2 linked regions of the Arabidopsis thaliana genome follow. The protein of the gene in region 1 interacts with the protein of each later gene in a pairwise test. Each region holds a gene or a part of one and is shown in the gene's direction. Other genes may lie near its edges. The genes, in order: AT1G06890 and LUT1.

Region 1 (8,551 bases):
GAACAGATAACATGTTTCCCTATGGGTGCCAAACTTGTGAGAGATGTCAATGTGAAGAACAAATCTGAAACAAACTCAGTAGTCGAGGTAAAAAGGAAACAGTATTTTCTTGTGATAAGAGTCAGCCAAGAAGAGTTGAAAACATTGTACTTTCCTCGGGTATAATCATGGTTTTGAATTTTAACCTGCATCTGATTTGCAGCTTTACTATCAAATCGAGCCTGAAGAAGCTCAATCAACGAGAACGAAAGCTGTGCTGGATCTCTTTCATGAAATCATAGAAGAGCCATTGTTCAATCAGTTGAGGTTAGTCATCACATGTTTACCTAGTTTTTTTAATAGATCAAAATTGTATTCATGTATAGTCACACATATATATACATATTTTGGATATAGGACAAAGGAGCAGCTTGGTTATGTTGTCGAGTGTGGCCCTCGCTTAACGTATCGTGTGCACGGTTTCTGTTTCTGTGTTCAATCTTCTAAGTACGGTCCAGTTCATTTGCTGGGGAGAGTTGACAATTTCATAAAAGATATCGAAGGGCTTCTGGTAAGTCTGTAATCAAAAAGAATATATTGATTTTTTTTGTTAAATCTTTACCTCGCTCCACATATGTTAATCGGACTGTAATTGCAGGAACAACTGGATGATGAATCCTATGAAGATTACCGAAGTGGTATGATTGCTAGATTGCTGGAAAAGGATCCCTCTCTCTTGTCCGAGACAAATGACTTATGGAGTCAGATTGTTGACAAAAGGTAAGGATCTCAAGGGTTTGAAGTTATGTGACCTGTAGTATCTATAGAACTTTCAATGATTTACTTGGATCCATATCCACAACGGTCACTGGCGAATGAAAATGGAGTTAACTCTCTCACAGGTACATGTTTGATTTCTCCCACAAAGAAGCAGAAGAACTAAGAAGTATACAGAAGAAAGATGTGATCAGTTGGTACAAAACCTATTTCAGAGAATCATCACCCAAATGTCGTAGGCTTGCGGTAAGGGTTTGGGGATGCGATACCAATATGAAAGAAACTCAAACAGATCAAAAGGCGGTGCAGGTCATCGCAGACGCAGTGGCTTTCAAGTCAACTTCTAAGTTTTACCCCAGCCTTTGCTAATGAGAAGAAACATACAAAAGAGTTTTGCTTCGTCTTCCCTTTTTTTTATCTTTTATATTTTGATTCACTCAATTTTCTTCATACCCTCATTGGATAGGTTATACTTTTGGGTGACAAACACCAAAAATATCCCTTTTTGTTACGATTTGAGAATACGCTTTTTAAATTATTATTTTTATCTGGTGGATAATTTGATATTTATTGATTAGAAAAGCATTATCTTATACAATGTATAGATTTCATTTACCCAAAAAGAAGCAGCAAAACTAAAAAACAGACAGAAAAAAAAAGTTATCAATCGATAAAAACTTACTTCAAATAACCATCGAAACTCTCACTAAGAAAAATCCCATTTGGAACAATTTTCTCCTTAATGACAGGTATATGTCCACTGGAACAATAAATGAAAAGAAAGTATAAAATGACCTTTGATTGTACAGTGAATGTCTTACATAAATAACCAACGGTAAAAAATCAAATGTGAACGTGGATCATGAATAGCTTGTTTGATAATTACGATTATATCCCGCGGTTAATTTCTCTCTGGTAGGGCCTATCAAACGTAGAAAGCGAAAACTATCTTTCTTCTTCCTCTCTCTCACTATTTTTCTCTGTACGGTGGTGAGTGAAGACCATCAAAAATTGCAGAAAATAGGCTTAATCTGAATCTCTTCTCCTCCGTCGAAGTTTTGAATTCTCTCTGGTTCTCCAATTCTCCTGTGAGTCTCTCTCTCTCTCTCTTCCCTCTTTCTCCTTCCTTATGTTCTCCTTGTTTCATTTCGCGTCTCTTGAATTTTGCCTTCAACTGATTTCTTTGATCTCTGTCTCATAACGGCAGATCTAGGGTTTATGGCTTCTGGCTTTCAATAAATCTCCTTCGTTCTCCCACTCTTTTATCTAACGAGTTTCTATTTTCTCCATTTTGCTTCAGCTCGAGCTGCCTTAAGCTTCGCATTTACGTTTACGTTATGCACGAATGAGGTTCGTTTTCTCCAGATCGCTCTTGTTTTCTTCACGTTTTACTGTCTACCGTTATCATTCCTTGTATAATTTTTGGTGGATTAGATCATCGTAGATCGTGATTGAAGAAGCGAGAGATAAATTAGGAGAGCGAAGATGAGCGAGGGCCAGAAGTTCCAGTTGGGAACAATCGGCGCTTTGAGTTTGTCCGTTGTGTCATCTGTCTCGATTGTGATCTGTAACAAAGCGCTTATTAGCACCCTTGGCTTCACATTCGGTAACCTTTTCAATTCTTCCTTCACTGTTACAGGCTCCTTTGATTATCCATGTTGCGCTGCTGATATTGTTTCCTCTGGATCTATTCTTGTGTTTGTATACTAATGCTTACTCTGCGCGATTCGTTTCGAGCCTTCTCTTATTTGATGAAATTGAGGAATAGATTGTTGATCATTTTACTTCATACTATGTTCTGAATTGTCTGTTGGTTATATTTTAGGTCCCTTATGGTACATAAACGAGAATTGCCTTCATGATTGTATATGTTTAAGATTGTTTCTTATCGCTTTAGAATTTAGGTGCTCCTCTTCTTTTCTGTATGACTCAATATTCTTTCCTAGGATACACCATTGATTCTTATGTAGTATTATTATACTTGCAAGACACTGTTTTATCCCATTTTGATGTCTGTGTTGCCATAACAGCTTTTATGTCATCTTATGCAATTTTGATCTCATAAGCTATCTGTTCTTACTCTTGTTATTTTGTATGTACAGCGACTACTTTGACAAGTTGGCATCTTTTGGTCACATTTTGTTCCCTTCATGTGGCATTATGGATGAAGATGTTCGAACACAAGCCTTTTGATCCACGAGCTGTGATGGGATTTGGCATATTGAATGGGATATCCATAGGACTATTGAACCTCAGCCTGGGCTTTAATTCTGTCGGTTTTTACCAGGTATAGCTTTTTCCATTTCAGTTACTGCATGATGTGATATCCATTTTTAACTAGTGTTGTTCTAATTTCTAACCCATCTTCTGTTCCGTTGATAATAGATGACTAAACTAGCTATCATCCCCTGCACTGTTCTCTTGGAGACCCTCTTCTTCAGGAAAAAGTTCAGGTTAGCACTCAAATTCTCTTCCATTAACACGTGAATAATTATTGATTTGGAGGAAGCTGTTTTACATGACATCTATATTTTTCTTATGGTCATGCATTTCTGGTTGACTTAATCCAAAGTTCTAATTTTATATACTGTGTAATAGTTGAGCAACTTAGTGATAGCGTTATGTCTCTCGCTAGTTTGTGGTCAAGGGCCTAGTTAATGACACCCTTATTTTTTTTCTTTGCAGTCGAAAAATCCAGTTTTCATTAACCATCCTTCTCCTTGGTGTTGGAATTGCAACCGTCACAGATCTTCAACTTAATATGCTGGGTTCTGTCTTGTCGCTGCTGGCTGTTGTCACAACTTGTGTTGCTCAAATTGTATCCTATGCCTAGCCTTTGGTTTCTCATTGCTTTATTCTTTCACCTTTCTATATATCTTGTCTTAAACCAATTCGATGCTGTTATCTTAACCAATTGTACACAGATGACAAATACCATCCAGAAGAAGTTCAAAGTTTCATCCACGCAGCTTCTGTATCAGTCTTGCCCATATCAAGCAATCACTCTTTTCGTCACTGGGCCATTTTTAGATGGGCTCCTAACCAATCAGAACGTGTTTGCTTTCAAGTACACTTCTCAAGTAGTGGTGAGACTCAATTTCCCGGGGATTCTACCAAACTTATTAACTGATCTTCTTGCTTCCATGTCGATCCTGCATATTAACGAGTGCTTCTTTGTTGATTGCAGTTCTTCATCGTCCTGTCTTGCCTCATATCAGTCTCTGTAAACTTCAGCACATTTCTTGTCATTGGAAAAACATCTCCTGTCACATATCAGGTTCTAGGACATCTCAAAACATGCCTGGTTCTAGCATTTGGCTATGTGTTGCTGCGAGACCCATTCGACTGGCGCAACATTCTCGGTATTCTAGTGGCTGTGATTGGAATGGTTGTTTATTCCTATTACTGCTCGATTGAGACTCAGCAGAAGGCAAGTGAAACCTCAACTCAGTTGCCTCAGGTATATTTCTTCATCTCTCTGTTCCCTCTAATATATTTCTGTTGGTAATTAGATGAGTCCCTCAAATCATATTCCTTTTTATAGTACCATTGATTTTGCAATTAGATTGCTATAAAAAAGCATCAGTATCATAGGCTTTTTTCAGGTCTATCTATATATACTGACTTGTTATATTGCTTAATTTGGTTTACTCGGGTTTGTCAGATGAAAGAGAGCGAGAAGGATCCGCTAATAGCAGCTGAAAATGGAAGCGGAGTGTTATCAGATGGCGGCGGGGGAGTGCAGCAAAAGACGGTGGCTCCTGTATGGAACTCAAATAAAGATTTTCAAGCCTAAAAGCTTTGATCATCGCTATTTTTTTATATAATATCAAACTCTCTTTGTATTGTCCCCAAAAAAACACAAACTTTTTAATTTCTCTTTTTTTTTTTTTTTGTTCCCTTTTTAAATATGCATAGCAGAGAAGTAGGGGAGACTGAAAAATCAACAAACCTTCCACACCATATGGAAAAAAAGAAGAAAGTAGAGAGTGAGGGGAAGAAAAGGGAACAGCTTTGATGATCCATTTTATTATACACAGCAGCTCTCTTTTTTTTTTTTTTTTTTTTTTGGATTTAGTATTACAACTCTGTATTCAAAAGGCTGTGGCTATATTCATCAACACTGAAAACATATATTTGATTTTTAGACTCTTTTCTATGAATCTACACAACTCATTCTAGCTTTCTTACCAACTTGTCCCAATTCTTATTCAGTTATTCCATATCTTGACCAAACCATTTTGATGAGAGTAAAAAAAAAGGTTTCTGGTATTTATTTTAAAACATAGCGTAAGGTTCAACAAAGCACCAGTGGTCTAGTGGTAGAATAGTACCCTGCCACGGTACAGACCCGGGTTCGATTCCCGGCTGGTGCATGAGCTGTGATGAAATTGGCTTTAGTATTGGTTGGGTCCAATGCATTCTCCTGAATATCAGATGATTTCGCCTACTCTGAGCTCTATTTTTAATTTTTATTTTTGAAATATTGCATTTTAAGTTTATACAAACTATTAATATCTTGTATCTGCCAAAATAGCCTGCAAATTCCACAGAACCAATTATGTTCAAGAGCTTGAGAACAGAACGTTTACAGGATTCTTCACATTAAATACTCAAAAAAGAAAGTTTACCCTTTTATGTTTGACAGCTACTGCCAATTACACTGGATGCATTTAGGTTTCAACACATCAAAAAAAATCAAAGCAAAAATATCAATTTTCTTGTTCTTTTTATATGGATTTCCCAGTGCATTCCATGTCCGCCATCAAGCCTAGACAGGAAGAAAGAATTGCTCTGTTGCCTTCAGCGCCAAAATGGTTGGCATGGCACAGCTCATCTAATCAAATTTTCTGCTTAATCCTAAGATACCATCTGCGTTGGTCAAGATACATCAACAGCTCTCTTTTGGCTAACTTGTTCATGGTGTATTATGTCTGACACTTTGCTTGGTGGCCAATAGCGAAACACAGATCTCCCTATGATGTTCTTTATTGGAAGTGGACCCCTGCGTTTTACATTCACCACATCATCCATGAATCAACAGAGTTCCCATAACCAAGACAGAACAACCATTAATAATATATTCGAAAGTGGTTACCAGTTATGAGAATCAAAGCTTTTGTTGCGGTTGTCTCCTAGGACGAAGACATAACCTTCAGGGACAAACTGCAAATAAACAGGAAAAAGAAAGAGATCAAGTTAGCAGCATTCTTCTAATAATTTTTAGGTCGAGAAAACATTCAATAAGCAAGCGCAAGTTTGCTTACCATTGGTTCCATTTCATAGTCAATTGGCTCTAAGACAAAATCCTCTGCTTGAACAGTGTCATTTACTAAGAGCTTTCCATCACAAACCTATATGATACAGCATCAATAGGTTAGACAGGAATATAACAACAACAGAAACAAAGGTTAAGAGTCTGTTTTGAGGAGGCTGGTCATCAAGAAGCCACTACATAAGTAATACCGATAAAGATGACCAAAGACTTCAATGGAGAATAGGATCAATCAACAAGTGGATTAGAGATAAGGGCTTACTTCAACCCAGTCACCTTCGCTAGCAACTATCCTTTTTATGAAAACATCAGCACAACTGTAACCATGTTCCTGCAATTCAAAGGAGAGTATCAAGCACCTTTGAAAAAGGTCTAAGAACATTTGAAAACCCAGAAATAGTGATTTGAGATATATACCACCAAAATAGGAGGAGCCTTGAAGATAACTATGTCTGAAACCTCTGGCTTCCTGAAAAAGTATGAGACCTGTCCAACACCAAAGCAAATAGACAGATTTGATCACAATGGTTTAGTGTGATTAAGCCACATCACCAATTAAAAGATCAATGTGCATTTCTTATGTAAGAAGAAACACATTTAAGACCATTTCCAATAACAAATTTTAGTTCCAACAATGCAGAATTGGTTAAAGCCGTCATTTTAAAAACCTCTCAAGATCAAACATCATTCTACGGTCACAATTAAGAACAGAACAAACCAGTAATCTCACCTTCTCGGCTATAACACGATCACCCACATCGAGAGTAGGAAGCATAGATGTTGAAGGTATAGACTTTGGCTCGGCCAAAGCCGATCGGAAAAGGAGAGAAACAGTAACCGCCGTGAAAGCAGCCTTAGCATCCTCCGAGCAGATATTCAACAGCTTATTAACCCATCCGTTTCCACCATTCGAGACTTTATCACTCAACTCCAACTTCACTTTAGGATCACAGACCTTTCCTCCTCTATCAACCTCAGCAATATCCGTTGATAACGTCGCCGGAATACTACAAGGCATCCACTTGGAACCCCTAAGGAACGGGATGACAGAAGAAGTCTTAAAGGGAGAGATCCCGAGACCGGTCATACCCGAAAACTGTGGAGCTCCAGTCAAATTCATGAGAGAGATCATACCCAAGACAAGTGGACTCTTGCAGCCTTCTTCGAGGATTTCCCTCGCAATGGTGCTATACATTGATGAAGCTGGTCGAGCACGAGGGCCTGAGCTTGGACCCCATGTGTTGGATCCGGGAGATTTATCAACAATATCTGGTATCTGATTGTGGCCGCAGAACCTGGGACGAACCCATGTTTCGAAGCATGATCTAACGTCGCCGGTACCGACACGAGTCCCGGCGGATGAAGCAATGCTCCTAGCAACATAGCTGGAGTAGGTGAAGGTAACCCTAATCGCCATAAATGCAGATTTTGAAGAAAGTAAGGGTTTCTTAAGGAAGACCTAGAAAGGAATAAGGAATTGGAAGAATCGATCTGCCGGAAAGAGAAACGGAGAGCTTGTTCCGCCGGCGAGATCGAGTAATTGTTTCAGGCGGGGAAGCGAAGAAGCGAAGAAGATGGAGATCTCCCAGAGGAGAGGAGAAGGTTTTGGTCGAAAGCAGAGAGAGTCTTCTTCTTCTTGTTGTTGGTTGAGTTGAGTCATCAATTACATTTAGGGCCAAAAATGGGCCTTTAAATATACAATTTCTATTCATAATATCCCATAATTAAATACGCAAGTATCAAAAATGGCTATAACATTGACAAAAATAAATTAGAATTATCTGATAAAAAGATGGTGGAGTGGGTATTTCACAAAATTACAATTGTGAATTTTGTTGTACTGAGCAAAATTGTTTAATACATTTTTAGATGTACAATTAATAAAAGCACACGATAAATTTCATCGTTTTTTTTTCAATCTTTTGCTCGTAAGAACATAATTTTTTAAGCCGATTTGAATTTTAAAGTAAAGACATTAGCACAACCTATGTTTCTTGTCAGTTGTCACATATTAACATTTGCTAAAGATATTTTGGTGTTTATAAATCAACTATAAGAAAATAATATATAACCTAGATATATGAAATAATGAATCATGTATAGACCATTTTGATATCCCTATAATACATGGTAGACATGTAGTTATGAACTAGAGACGTAACAAGGTAAAGGCTCTGGGACCGGGCGCAGGAGTGTGTATGTGGAAAACTATAAAGAAAGTGAATGACCGCAGCACATACGTCATCTCTCTCTTAAGGTTCGCCCGAAGCTTCGTTGATATTTCTTAATTAATCAGTATTATCTTTAAATAATTAGTCGTTAACTTAGTTGGGTTGAGTTTGACCACAACCTAATTAACAAAATGGATTCTGTTTCGTTTTTTTTTCTTTTAGCCAAACACTAATCTCTCGTTGTCTTCCCAAATGCTTCTATTTAATCAAATATTTATATTGTGCTCAAGATACATCGAGGCTTCATACGGATTAGAATTTGTCTATCGGCATGTTTTGTTTTGTTTTT
Region 2 (9,923 bases), on another chromosome or scaffold:
TCTCCAAGTTGTCTCCTGTTACATTTGATCAAATGGAAAGTTCTAGATTTCTGGATTGAACTAAAGTTTCCTGTAGAATTACATGAACCATAGAGTACTTACTAGCTAGCTGCAATGTTTCTCTACGGAGCTCATCTTTGATCTGACGGACAGAAACAAATCACGAAAAAATTAACGTCCAGAGACTATAACAAGGAACCAGAAAGCTGATGACATGATACAGGCTTTATCAAACAATATCAATGTATAGACTTGAAAGAGCACTAATGAATTATATCAACACAGAACTAAAGAAGCTACATATTCTTAGAGCTACAGATAAGACCCTCGGTTATCCAGAAACAACCGACTGTTTTAGAGACTATAACAAAGAACCAGAAAGCTCTAATTACTGGCAACATGTAGAAGATGACGCCATGATAAAGGCTTCCTCAAACAATATCAATGTATATACTTGAAAGAGCACCAATGAATAATATCAACACATAACTAACGAAGCTCCATTCTTAGGACTACAATTAATAGTAATACTCTTAGCTATCCAGAAACAACTGACTGTTTTAGAGACTTACATTATTCTGGACTTTGACCTGGTCAAGAGAGAGCAGAAATTGCTGATACGCATCTTTGTCAGAGAGAAGCTTCCTGAGTTCATCCACGCTACAGAAAAGTATACACTATTCAAAAAGAAGACATACAAAAAAAACGCACACTCGAGAGAAGGATAACAAACAAACAAACAAAAAGAGCAAACCTTTTGTCTTTCAAGAAGACGATAATGCCAGCTGCTTCACCCGGTGATACTTGTGCTGAAATCTGACCTGAACTTTGAGGCCGGGATGAGCTTGGCGAGCTAACTAAAGAAGGCGAGTACCATGGCGACTGTGAAGAAGCTTCCTGAGGACGAGATTGCCCTTGTTGTTGGTCTTTTGATCCCCTTCACGTACACAACAAAAAAAAGAAACATCATCAACTAACTATCTCAGCTTCCAAGTTAATATAATACATCACCTCATAAACTTGAAAGGTGCATTTATACAGCACATCATTGTAAACCTAATATCAGTAACTATGAACCCTAAATCAGTAGCTGAGCAAAATCTACACTTGTCAATTCACCTCAAAAACCTCAAATATATCATTATAGCTCAACAAACTACACAACAACAAGATTTCCTTAATCGCTAACAGACCTAATGTCTGGATCACGCAATTTCATCAATAACATATGAATCAGATGGCAAAAAATTCGCAAAATCATACCAGAAATTGAACATCGTTTCTAGAATTCGCCGACTAACGAAAGGAATTGACTTTTTCTTGTTCTCTTGTACTTCTTCTTCCTACCAGATCGACAAAATTTAACAACTTTACAGAAACAGAGTTTACAGAGTTTCAAAGAAAATTCGATCTTCTCTGTTTCGTTTCAGATTTTGCTACTTGCTTTTAAAAGGCCCAAATACGAGGAGGCCCATATTAAGTTTTGATTAACAAAACGTAGTCGTTTTATGCATCGTCGTCCTTATCCACGCGTAACGGTTCGCGTTTCTACACAGAGTCAAATATTTCTGCACGGAAGCTTCGAAAAGAGGTCATCAATGGAGTCTTCACTCTTTTCTCCATCTTCCTCTTCTTACTCTTCTCTCTTCACTGCAAAACCTACGCGTCTTTTATCACCAAAACCCAAATTCACATTCTCCATCAGATCCTCCATTGAGAAACCCAAACCCAAACTCGAGACCAATTCATCGAAATCCCAATCATGGGTCAGTCCCGATTGGCTCACAACACTCACTCGTACCCTTTCCTCAGGAAAAAACGACGAGTCAGGTATACCAATCGCGAACGCGAAGCTCGACGATGTCGCTGATCTCCTCGGAGGTGCTCTCTTCTTACCTCTCTACAAATGGATGAATGAGTACGGACCCATTTACCGTCTCGCTGCTGGTCCTCGTAATTTCGTAATTGTGAGCGACCCAGCGATAGCTAAACATGTTTTGAGGAATTATCCAAAGTACGCTAAAGGCTTAGTCGCTGAAGTCTCTGAATTTCTATTTGGTTCGGGTTTCGCTATCGCTGAAGGACCTCTTTGGACAGTAATTTCATCTCCTCCTATCTCAATTTTGAAGTTTTTGGAATTGTGGAAGTAATGTGTGACTGTCTTGTATGATAAGTAACTCTAATTTTAGGGTTTAGATTCCAATCTTCTCTATTGGGCTTAGCTGAAGTCTGATTTTTTACATAGGCGAGGCGTAGAGCGGTGGTTCCATCGCTTCACAGGAGGTATTTGTCTGTGATTGTGGAGAGAGTATTCTGCAAATGTGCAGAGAGGCTTGTTGAGAAGTTGCAGCCTTATGCAGAAGACGGAAGTGCTGTGAATATGGAAGCGAAGTTCTCTCAGATGACACTTGATGTCATTGGGTTGTCTCTTTTTAACTACAATTTCGATTCTTTGACTACTGATAGTCCTGTCATTGAAGCTGTTTACACTGCTCTTAAAGAAGCTGAGCTTCGTTCTACTGATCTTCTGCCATATTGGAAGGCAAGTTTCCTGTGTTTTTTCTGTGGTTTGTTGATTGTGTGGAACAATTGGATTCTTGTTAATTGAGAGGGTTTGGTTGTTTTTTTCAGATCGATGCATTGTGTAAGATAGTCCCGAGACAGGTGAAAGCTGAAAAGGCTGTAACTTTGATAAGGGAAACTGTTGAAGACCTTATTGCTAAGTGTAAAGAAATTGTCGAAAGAGAAGGCGAAAGAATCAATGATGAGGAGTATGTAAATGATGCTGACCCAAGTATCCTGCGTTTCTTGCTTGCAAGCAGAGAAGAGGTTTAAACTTTTTTCCTTAAGTTTATAAGCAAATTTGGCCTTTCATTATCGCATAATCGAAGCTGATGTTGCATTGTGAGGGTTTTCAGGTATCAAGTGTGCAGTTACGGGATGATCTTCTCTCAATGCTCGTAGCGGGTCATGAAACCACTGGATCTGTCCTCACTTGGACACTTTATCTCCTAAGTAAGGTACCTTAATGTATCTTCTACTTTGCTATGCTAGAGAATTTACTTGGATGGGAGCTTCTCTGTTCTCATTTACCTCTTCAAATTCTCTATGTTCATAGAACTCATCTGCATTAAGGAAAGCACAAGAAGAAGTAGACAGAGTGTTAGAAGGAAGAAACCCGGCTTTCGAGGATATAAAGGAGTTGAAGTACATCACTCGTTGTATAAACGAGTCAATGCGTCTCTATCCTCATCCTCCTGTAAGCAATCAAGCTCATCTCTCTAATTATTCATGAACTAAATTTTCTGATTGATTTGTTTCCTGGTAGGTCTTGATAAGAAGAGCTCAAGTTCCTGACATTCTTCCTGGGAACTATAAGGTCAATACCGGACAAGACATTATGATTTCAGTCTATAACATCCATCGTTCTTCCGAGGTACAGTTCTCTTCCTTCTCTCGTCCATAGTATAACATAGGGGAGCCTAATCCTTCTCTTCAATGATCTTTGTGTGGTTCGGATATCTAACCGGAGTGGACATTCCTAGTATTACATTCATGCCCACATTTCTTATGTGTTTGTTGTTTGTTATTCCAAAGGTATGGGAAAAAGCTGAGGAATTTCTGCCTGAACGATTCGACATAGATGGCGCAATCCCTAACGAAACAAACACTGATTTCAAGTAAACTCAGTAGAACACATCTTTTGACACAAACTACTGAATCAAGATTAGTGGTTTTGATTAGGGAATTTAAAAGATGATTTTCTTTTTTCACCAGATTCATCCCATTCAGTGGAGGGCCTAGAAAATGTGTAGGCGATCAGTTTGCATTGATGGAGGCAATTGTGGCACTCGCGGTGTTTCTTCAGCGGTTAAACGTTGAGCTGGTTCCTGATCAGACCATTAGCATGACCACAGGAGCAACCATACACACCACCAATGTATGCCAATGTTCTCACACTCGAGAGATTAATGAGAGTGTCTGTTTTGTTTAGAATGATTCCAATTTCTCTAATGCTGATATTTTCAATTTCAGGGATTGTATATGAAGGTGAGCCAAAGGTAAAAACCAGAATTTATGTTTTCATGATAATTGATTGGTGTGAATGGACTTGTTTCATAGTACTCTTGAGAAATAACCACAAAAAAATGAATTATGGAAAATAGTTGTACCATCGGAAATGTGAATTTTGAACAGTGAGATGCTAGTACCATTAAAGTTTGGTAATTGTGTTATCATTTCAAATCAAACTTTCATACAGCTTGTGTTTGTTCTCCATTTTTCAGTAATTACGAAAATCAAAATTTTATTTTTTTTTGAATTTCTAAATAATAGACTAAGGTCTAAAACCATCCCATTCCATATGGACCACACGTAACATTAACCTTAAAAACCATATAAAACCATATAAAACCAATACTAGTGGGTTCTATAGCGATGTGTAGTTTCACTTTCACGTACGAGGAAGATTAAAAAAAATGGAGAACGAAAGCTCAGAGAGTAGAAACAGAGCTCGTCTTGCCATTATGGAGCTTGCTAACATGATTAGCGTTCCCATGTCTCTCAATGCCGCCGTGCGACTAGGCATTGCCGACGCCATTTGGAACGGCGGAGCCAATTCTCCTCTCTCTGCCGCCGAGATCCTCCCTCGCCTCCACCTACCATCTCACACTACCATTGGTGGCGACCCCGAGAATCTTCAGCGTATACTTCGGATGCTCACCAGCTACGGTGTCTTCTCCGAACACCTTGTTGGATCCATTGAGAGGAAATACTCTCTTACGGACGTCGGAAAAACTCTTGTAACCGACTCCGGCGGCCTCTCTTACGCTGCCTACGTCCTCCAACATCACCAGGTTTATGACTCATTTTCATTTTCCAAAATTGGAGTGATATATTAAAGGACTAATGATGGTATAATAAACTAATGTCTAAAACTTGTTGTGAAAATGATATATATTACAGGAGGCGTTGATGCGAGCATGGCCACTAGTTCACACGGCAGTGGTGGAGCCGGAGACAGAGCCGTACGTGAAAGCAAACGGCGAGGCGGCATACGCTCAGTATGGGAAAAGTGAGGAGATGAATGGTCTAATGCAAAAGGCAATGTCTGGCGTATCTGTACCGTTCATGAAAGCTATATTAGACGGCTACGATGGGTTTAAATCAGTGGATATTTTGGTTGACGTAGGAGGTAGTGCAGGGGATTGTCTGCGTATGATCCTTCAACAATTTCCTAACGTCCGTGAAGGGATTAATTTCGATTTACCTGAAGTTGTTGCCAAAGCCCCCAATATTCCTGGTGAGATTTTGTATTTATGATATATTGTACGTACGTTATTTTCTGAAAGTAAAAAGCTATTTTTAGTAATGTACGGAGTAATAATGGATGATATATTGTATGGTTTAGGAGTGACTCACGTGGGTGGGGATATGTTCCAATCAGTTCCTAGCGCTGACGCTATCTTCATGAAGGTTTGTTGTAACATTATTGTCTGTCACGAGAATACACCTACTAACATTTTTGCTAATAGGACGAATTCTAGTTTCTGTATATAGTTTTAATGTTTAGTGATATAGGTATAAATTTATAAGTCGCTTCGGACAATATGTTTGGTAGTATATAGTCTTAGTTATCGTTAGATCATGCGACTGGTCACTTTCATTTATTTATGATCATTTAAATATTGATTATACATTTCTCAAACCAAAAACTTGTGATCTGTTAGACCATGGATAGGGATCTCATGTTTGTTGAAAGAACAACACAAACAAATACACACATTTTTTGCTTCTCTGGTCCCAAATTAATATCTTGTAATATTGTTGTTTGAGTGTAAAGTGGGTGTTAACGACATGGACGGATGAAGAATGCAAGCAGATAATGAAGAATTGCTACAACGCGTTACCAGTTGGAGGAAAGCTGATTGCGTGTGAGCCGGTCTTGCCTAAGGAAACCGATGAAAGTCACCGGACTCGTGCCTTGTTAGAAGGTGACATCTTTGTCATGACCATCTATAGAACCAAAGGTAAGCATAGAACCGAAGAAGAGTTTATAGAGCTTGGTCTCTCCGCGGGATTCCCTACTTTTCGACCTTTCTACATTGATTACTTCTACACCATCTTAGAGTTTCAGAAGTAATATTCAAGCATTTTTCTTCTCATATTTCTAAAAGCTTCAAAATAATGAATCAAAAGACCTCTTTGTTAATTGAGTTGAGATATCTAGTGAAGACATTAATATTTTCATCAAGATGTAATAATCTAAAGTCTATATTCTAAGTGCATCCTTAAAAGGCATTTTCCATATATATAAGTTTCATCTTTCGAGAAAAAGGAAAAAAGACTCTTTAAGTGATGATTTCAAGAGTATTTCTAAATCACTCATTAGGCTAAGAGAAGAGTTCGAAAGTATACATATTATGCACATTATATCTATATGAATTTTTCTTCTTTGGCAAAAAGAAAAATCGTTTGGTGTTATTCTTATAAATCTTATGTCAACTTCTACATTCGATTTTTCTACACGAGACTCAATTGCTCCAAAACATCTTGGATTAAAATTGAAACGTTAATACTCGAAGATCCCTTTTCTTCCACAGCCTTTTTCGCCATTACTGCAAGTTCTTGAATACGTCTCCTTCGTCTCACGAATTCATTATCATCATCATTTTCGTCTACACGTTGACAATCTTGGTCCATCAAAAGCTTTATAGCTTTCACAACACTCGGTTTCTTGACCAACACTCCAAGTCTCTCCTCGTCTCCCCATCTCACCGGAATCTCCACCCCAACCCTAACCCCGATGTTCAAAACCTCCACGATGAGTTTCTCATTGAGAAATTGTTCAGCGAACAACGGCCATGTGATCATTGGTACACCAAAACATATCGCTTCTATTGTAGAATTCCAACCGCAATGAGTCAAGAACCCGCCGGTTGAACCATGTGAGAGTATCATAGCCTGAGGACTCCAACCCTTTATTACTATCCCTCTTCCTCTAACTCGCTCTTCAAAATTTTCGCGTTTTAGCCATTCGTCTAGCTCAATCATGTGTTTTTCCTCGGTCTTTATCACCCAAATAAAGGGTTTTCCCGATTCTTCTAACCCTAAACCTAGTTCTATCAATTGATTAGGTATTAGTCGACAGAGGCTACCAAGAGAAACATATAAGACTGACCTTGGTCTCATCGAGTCAAGAAACTGCAAGCATTCGGTCTCGCTTATTGCGATGTTACCATTACTTCCTCTATCGAATAGGTCAGCCATACGGTCGTTGCATAAAGAAACGGGTCCAACGAACCATACCTTCTTATTGATGGCCTCAGCGTAGGCCTCTGCATAGCCAGGCTCCAATTCCTGGAAGCTATTAACAATAACCCCAAAGGCTTCTGATTCAGATTCACGCATCTTCTCGCGAACGTCATCCATATTTGCTAACTTCTCAAAAGCACCAGGTAACTGAGCTCTAGCTATCTCAATCCTATGTGGCATTCCTGGTATAGGGAATGGCTCTACGGCCGAAGAAACCGAGAGGTGCGGGCTATGAAGATGGATATTGTGCGAACTCAAAAGAGAGAAGCAACACATTCCATGGAACACGATCCTCGGGATTTTGAACCTCTTTGCGGTTCTTGACGTCCAAAAAAGGCATTTATCGGAGATTATGCAACTTGGAGGGATATCTTGTTGCTCAAGAAACCGTTCCATGGGCTCTTGGAGTTTATCCACAGCGTCATAGAATCTTCGTAGGAGGTCTTTGGAGGGCAAAGTGTCCAGAGTCTCACAATCTTTGGGAAGACCGAATTCTTTGTAAGGAATTGGAAATTTAACGACATTGATTTCGAGACCCGACTCTAATCTTGCTCGGTCAACTGTCTTCGCAAACCTAGAAGCATTTTGAGGGGTTGTAACTATGGTAACGATGTTGCCTTGTCGTGCAAGAATCTTGGAGATGTCGACCATGGGGATCAGATGCCCTTGAGCCATGAGAGGGATCAAAACAAAGTGAAGTCTTTTGGCTTTTGAAACTATTTTTGATTCCATTTTTGGGTTTAGCAAATGTTTATGCATATACAAAATTCGACAATGTGTATATACGTGTGTGAATGCATCTGGTGAGAGACCTTTAATTAATTGGGAAAGTCATCAAAAGCTGTATATATATACTGACTTTGAACAAGTCACCAAAAAAGAACTATTGTTTAGAGAACCAATCATGTACCCTCATTCTTATAAAAAAAAATCGCTGACGGTGATGAGTTACGTCATTCATGACACTTAATGAGTTACATAAGATAAAACTTCAAGGAAAATATATATGTGAGGAAAACTTCAAGGAAAATTCACAAATGAAACAAAAAAAAAAATGTTGAGTTATCCAGTGAGATATGTAAATTTAAGTTAAAAGAATCTTATCTTAAATATTTATTAGTAAAACAAGTTAAATATTCACTGACACTTACGAAAAGACAACTATATATATAAAAATATCGTTATCTTAATTTGGTTTATTTTGTATTACGACTTCTGTATAAAGAAGTACCAAGTAGGTCAAGCTTGGCCGATGGGGCTGTTAGAGTTCCATTGATTATGGTTTTGTCTCCACCTAAAGATAGATTATTTGTTTGGTTATCACATGATCGATCACATCGTTAATCTACATGAGTTTCATTTAATTTCTTTCCGGTGTGTTCAAAGAGATCGATTTGTTAATGCAAATGAAATCAATTTAAAATTAGCACTCGATAGAATTTCAACACATTTGTACAAGAGTTCACGTTGAGCTTTAAATTGAACAAAAGAAGAAGAATTAGGACTTCTAATTTTATACAAAATGTGATTTTATTTTCCTCATAATAAAGAGTCTTTTTTGCGTAGGTTTAGGTTCACGGAGTTCCTGTTTTTCTTTGTTCCAAACATTGGTTCCAAGATCGCATGAAAGAAAGAGAGAAGGAAAACAAAATCAAAGGCGCTATCTCAAAGTCAAGATAGATTGAACAAGATATGATATTCGATATGTAATTTTTTAATTTATATTTTTGGAATCAAATTCATCTGGTTGTAATGAACGAATCTATAACTTTTTTATTTTTTTTGGGCAAACGAATCTATACTTTTGATGCGAAATGATTGAGATATTCTATAAAGTTATTGTCTATCAGAATATGTATACTAAAAAGATTATTTTGATGACTAATTAAGAACAAGATAATGTATGGAAAGAAAAAAAGATAATGAATGACAACTTGGATATATTTTTATATATTAATGTATGATCTCAACCCTCGGTTATGTAGGTTGCCCATCGAAATATATTGGAGATTAAGCCTTTAAAAAAAAAAAATATATACATATATTGGAGATTGGGAAAAAATACTTCCCAAGTTTAATTTTTTATCATCAAAAGTTCATAAAATATTTTAAGTCAAGGCATTTCTACAAACTAATTAGGAAACTATATACCTAGCTAGCTAGCTTTTAGCCCAAGAAAATCATATAGTTGTGATAGTTAATTTAAGCATTCGTTTTGAATAAACAAACACCAAACACCACGGCATATTTTCCTTATCTTTTTAGAGTTCCGTCTGAAAAGGACATATTTTTTTGTCTGCATGAAAAAGGACTCTTTGAAACGTTCAAATTGTGCGTATGTGGCGAACAAACCAACGTAAGACCAGTTCAACTTTTGGAATATTGGAGCATTGACGTGTATCACTCATACCTTTTGGGTAATCTTAATTTGTCTCTATATTGATGGGATTTTAAATATGAGTCCTTGTCATATATTTTTTTTTTTTTGATAAGCAGGAGGTTCGGGGCCTAGACCCTTAATCCATGCAGGGTCCGGAGAAAACCAGGTGAAAGTCTCTGGCCAAATAAAAATAACTAGCAATTTCACGCCTGAGGGGAATCGATCCCTG

The links.
Region 2: the proteins of AT1G06890 (region 1) and LUT1 interact in a protein complementation assay, tested with the Arabidopsis thaliana proteins (one large-scale study listed by BioGRID).

What each region holds. Positions count from the first base shown.
Region 1 is NC_003070.9:2,107,729-2,116,279, reverse strand, and holds AT1G06890 (nodulin MtN21 /EamA-like transporter family protein), read left to right. Parts: upstream 1-1,593; 5' UTR 1,594-1,844; intron 1,845-1,845; exon of another isoform or gene 1,846-2,056; 5' UTR 2,057-2,106; intron 2,107-2,190; 5' UTR 2,191-2,241; coding exon 2,242-2,362; intron 2,363-2,858; coding exon 2,859-3,043; intron 3,044-3,141; coding exon 3,142-3,209; intron 3,210-3,441; coding exon 3,442-3,574; intron 3,575-3,680; coding exon 3,681-3,842; intron 3,843-3,943; coding exon 3,944-4,216; intron 4,217-4,420; coding exon 4,421-4,552; 3' UTR 4,553-4,674; coding exon of another isoform or gene 4,675-4,695; 3' UTR 4,696-4,957; downstream 4,958-8,551. Other genes in the region: AT1G06900 (Insulinase (Peptidase family M16) family protein), read left to right, coding at 1-87, 203-306, 397-550, 638-759, 882-1,125; Plsp2A (Peptidase S24/S26A/S26B/S26C family protein), read right to left, coding at 5,638-5,761, 5,855-5,922, 6,024-6,110, 6,294-6,362, 6,449-6,517, 6,762-7,448. UniProt on the Arabidopsis thaliana protein: Nucleotide-sugar transporter that transports UDP-xylose and UMP in a strict counter-exchange mode.
Region 2 is NC_003074.8:19,691,214-19,701,136, forward strand, and holds LUT1 (Cytochrome P450 superfamily protein), read left to right. Parts: upstream 1-1,543; 5' UTR 1,544-1,598; coding exon 1,599-2,096; intron 2,097-2,245; coding exon 2,246-2,542; intron 2,543-2,631; coding exon 2,632-2,829; intron 2,830-2,918; coding exon 2,919-3,020; intron 3,021-3,118; coding exon 3,119-3,259; intron 3,260-3,328; coding exon 3,329-3,436; intron 3,437-3,597; coding exon 3,598-3,680; intron 3,681-3,777; coding exon 3,778-3,940; intron 3,941-4,035; coding exon 4,036-4,065; 3' UTR 4,066-4,478; coding exon of another isoform or gene 4,479-4,856; intron 4,857-4,965; coding exon of another isoform or gene 4,966-5,302; intron 5,303-5,410; coding exon of another isoform or gene 5,411-5,475; intron 5,476-5,842; coding exon of another isoform or gene 5,843-6,142; 3' UTR 6,143-6,329; downstream 6,330-9,923. Other genes in the region: VPS37-1 (Modifier of rudimentary (Mod(r)) protein), read right to left, coding at 1-15, 103-142, 573-660, 755-937, 1,264-1,277; AT3G53140 (O-methyltransferase family protein), read left to right, coding at 4,479-4,856, 4,966-5,302, 5,411-5,475, 5,843-6,142; UGT73D1 (UDP-glucosyl transferase 73D1), read right to left, coding at 6,523-8,073. UniProt on the Arabidopsis thaliana protein: Heme-containing cytochrome P450 involved in the biosynthesis of xanthophylls. Specific for epsilon- and beta-ring hydroxylation of alpha-carotene. Has only a low activity toward the beta-rings of beta-carotene.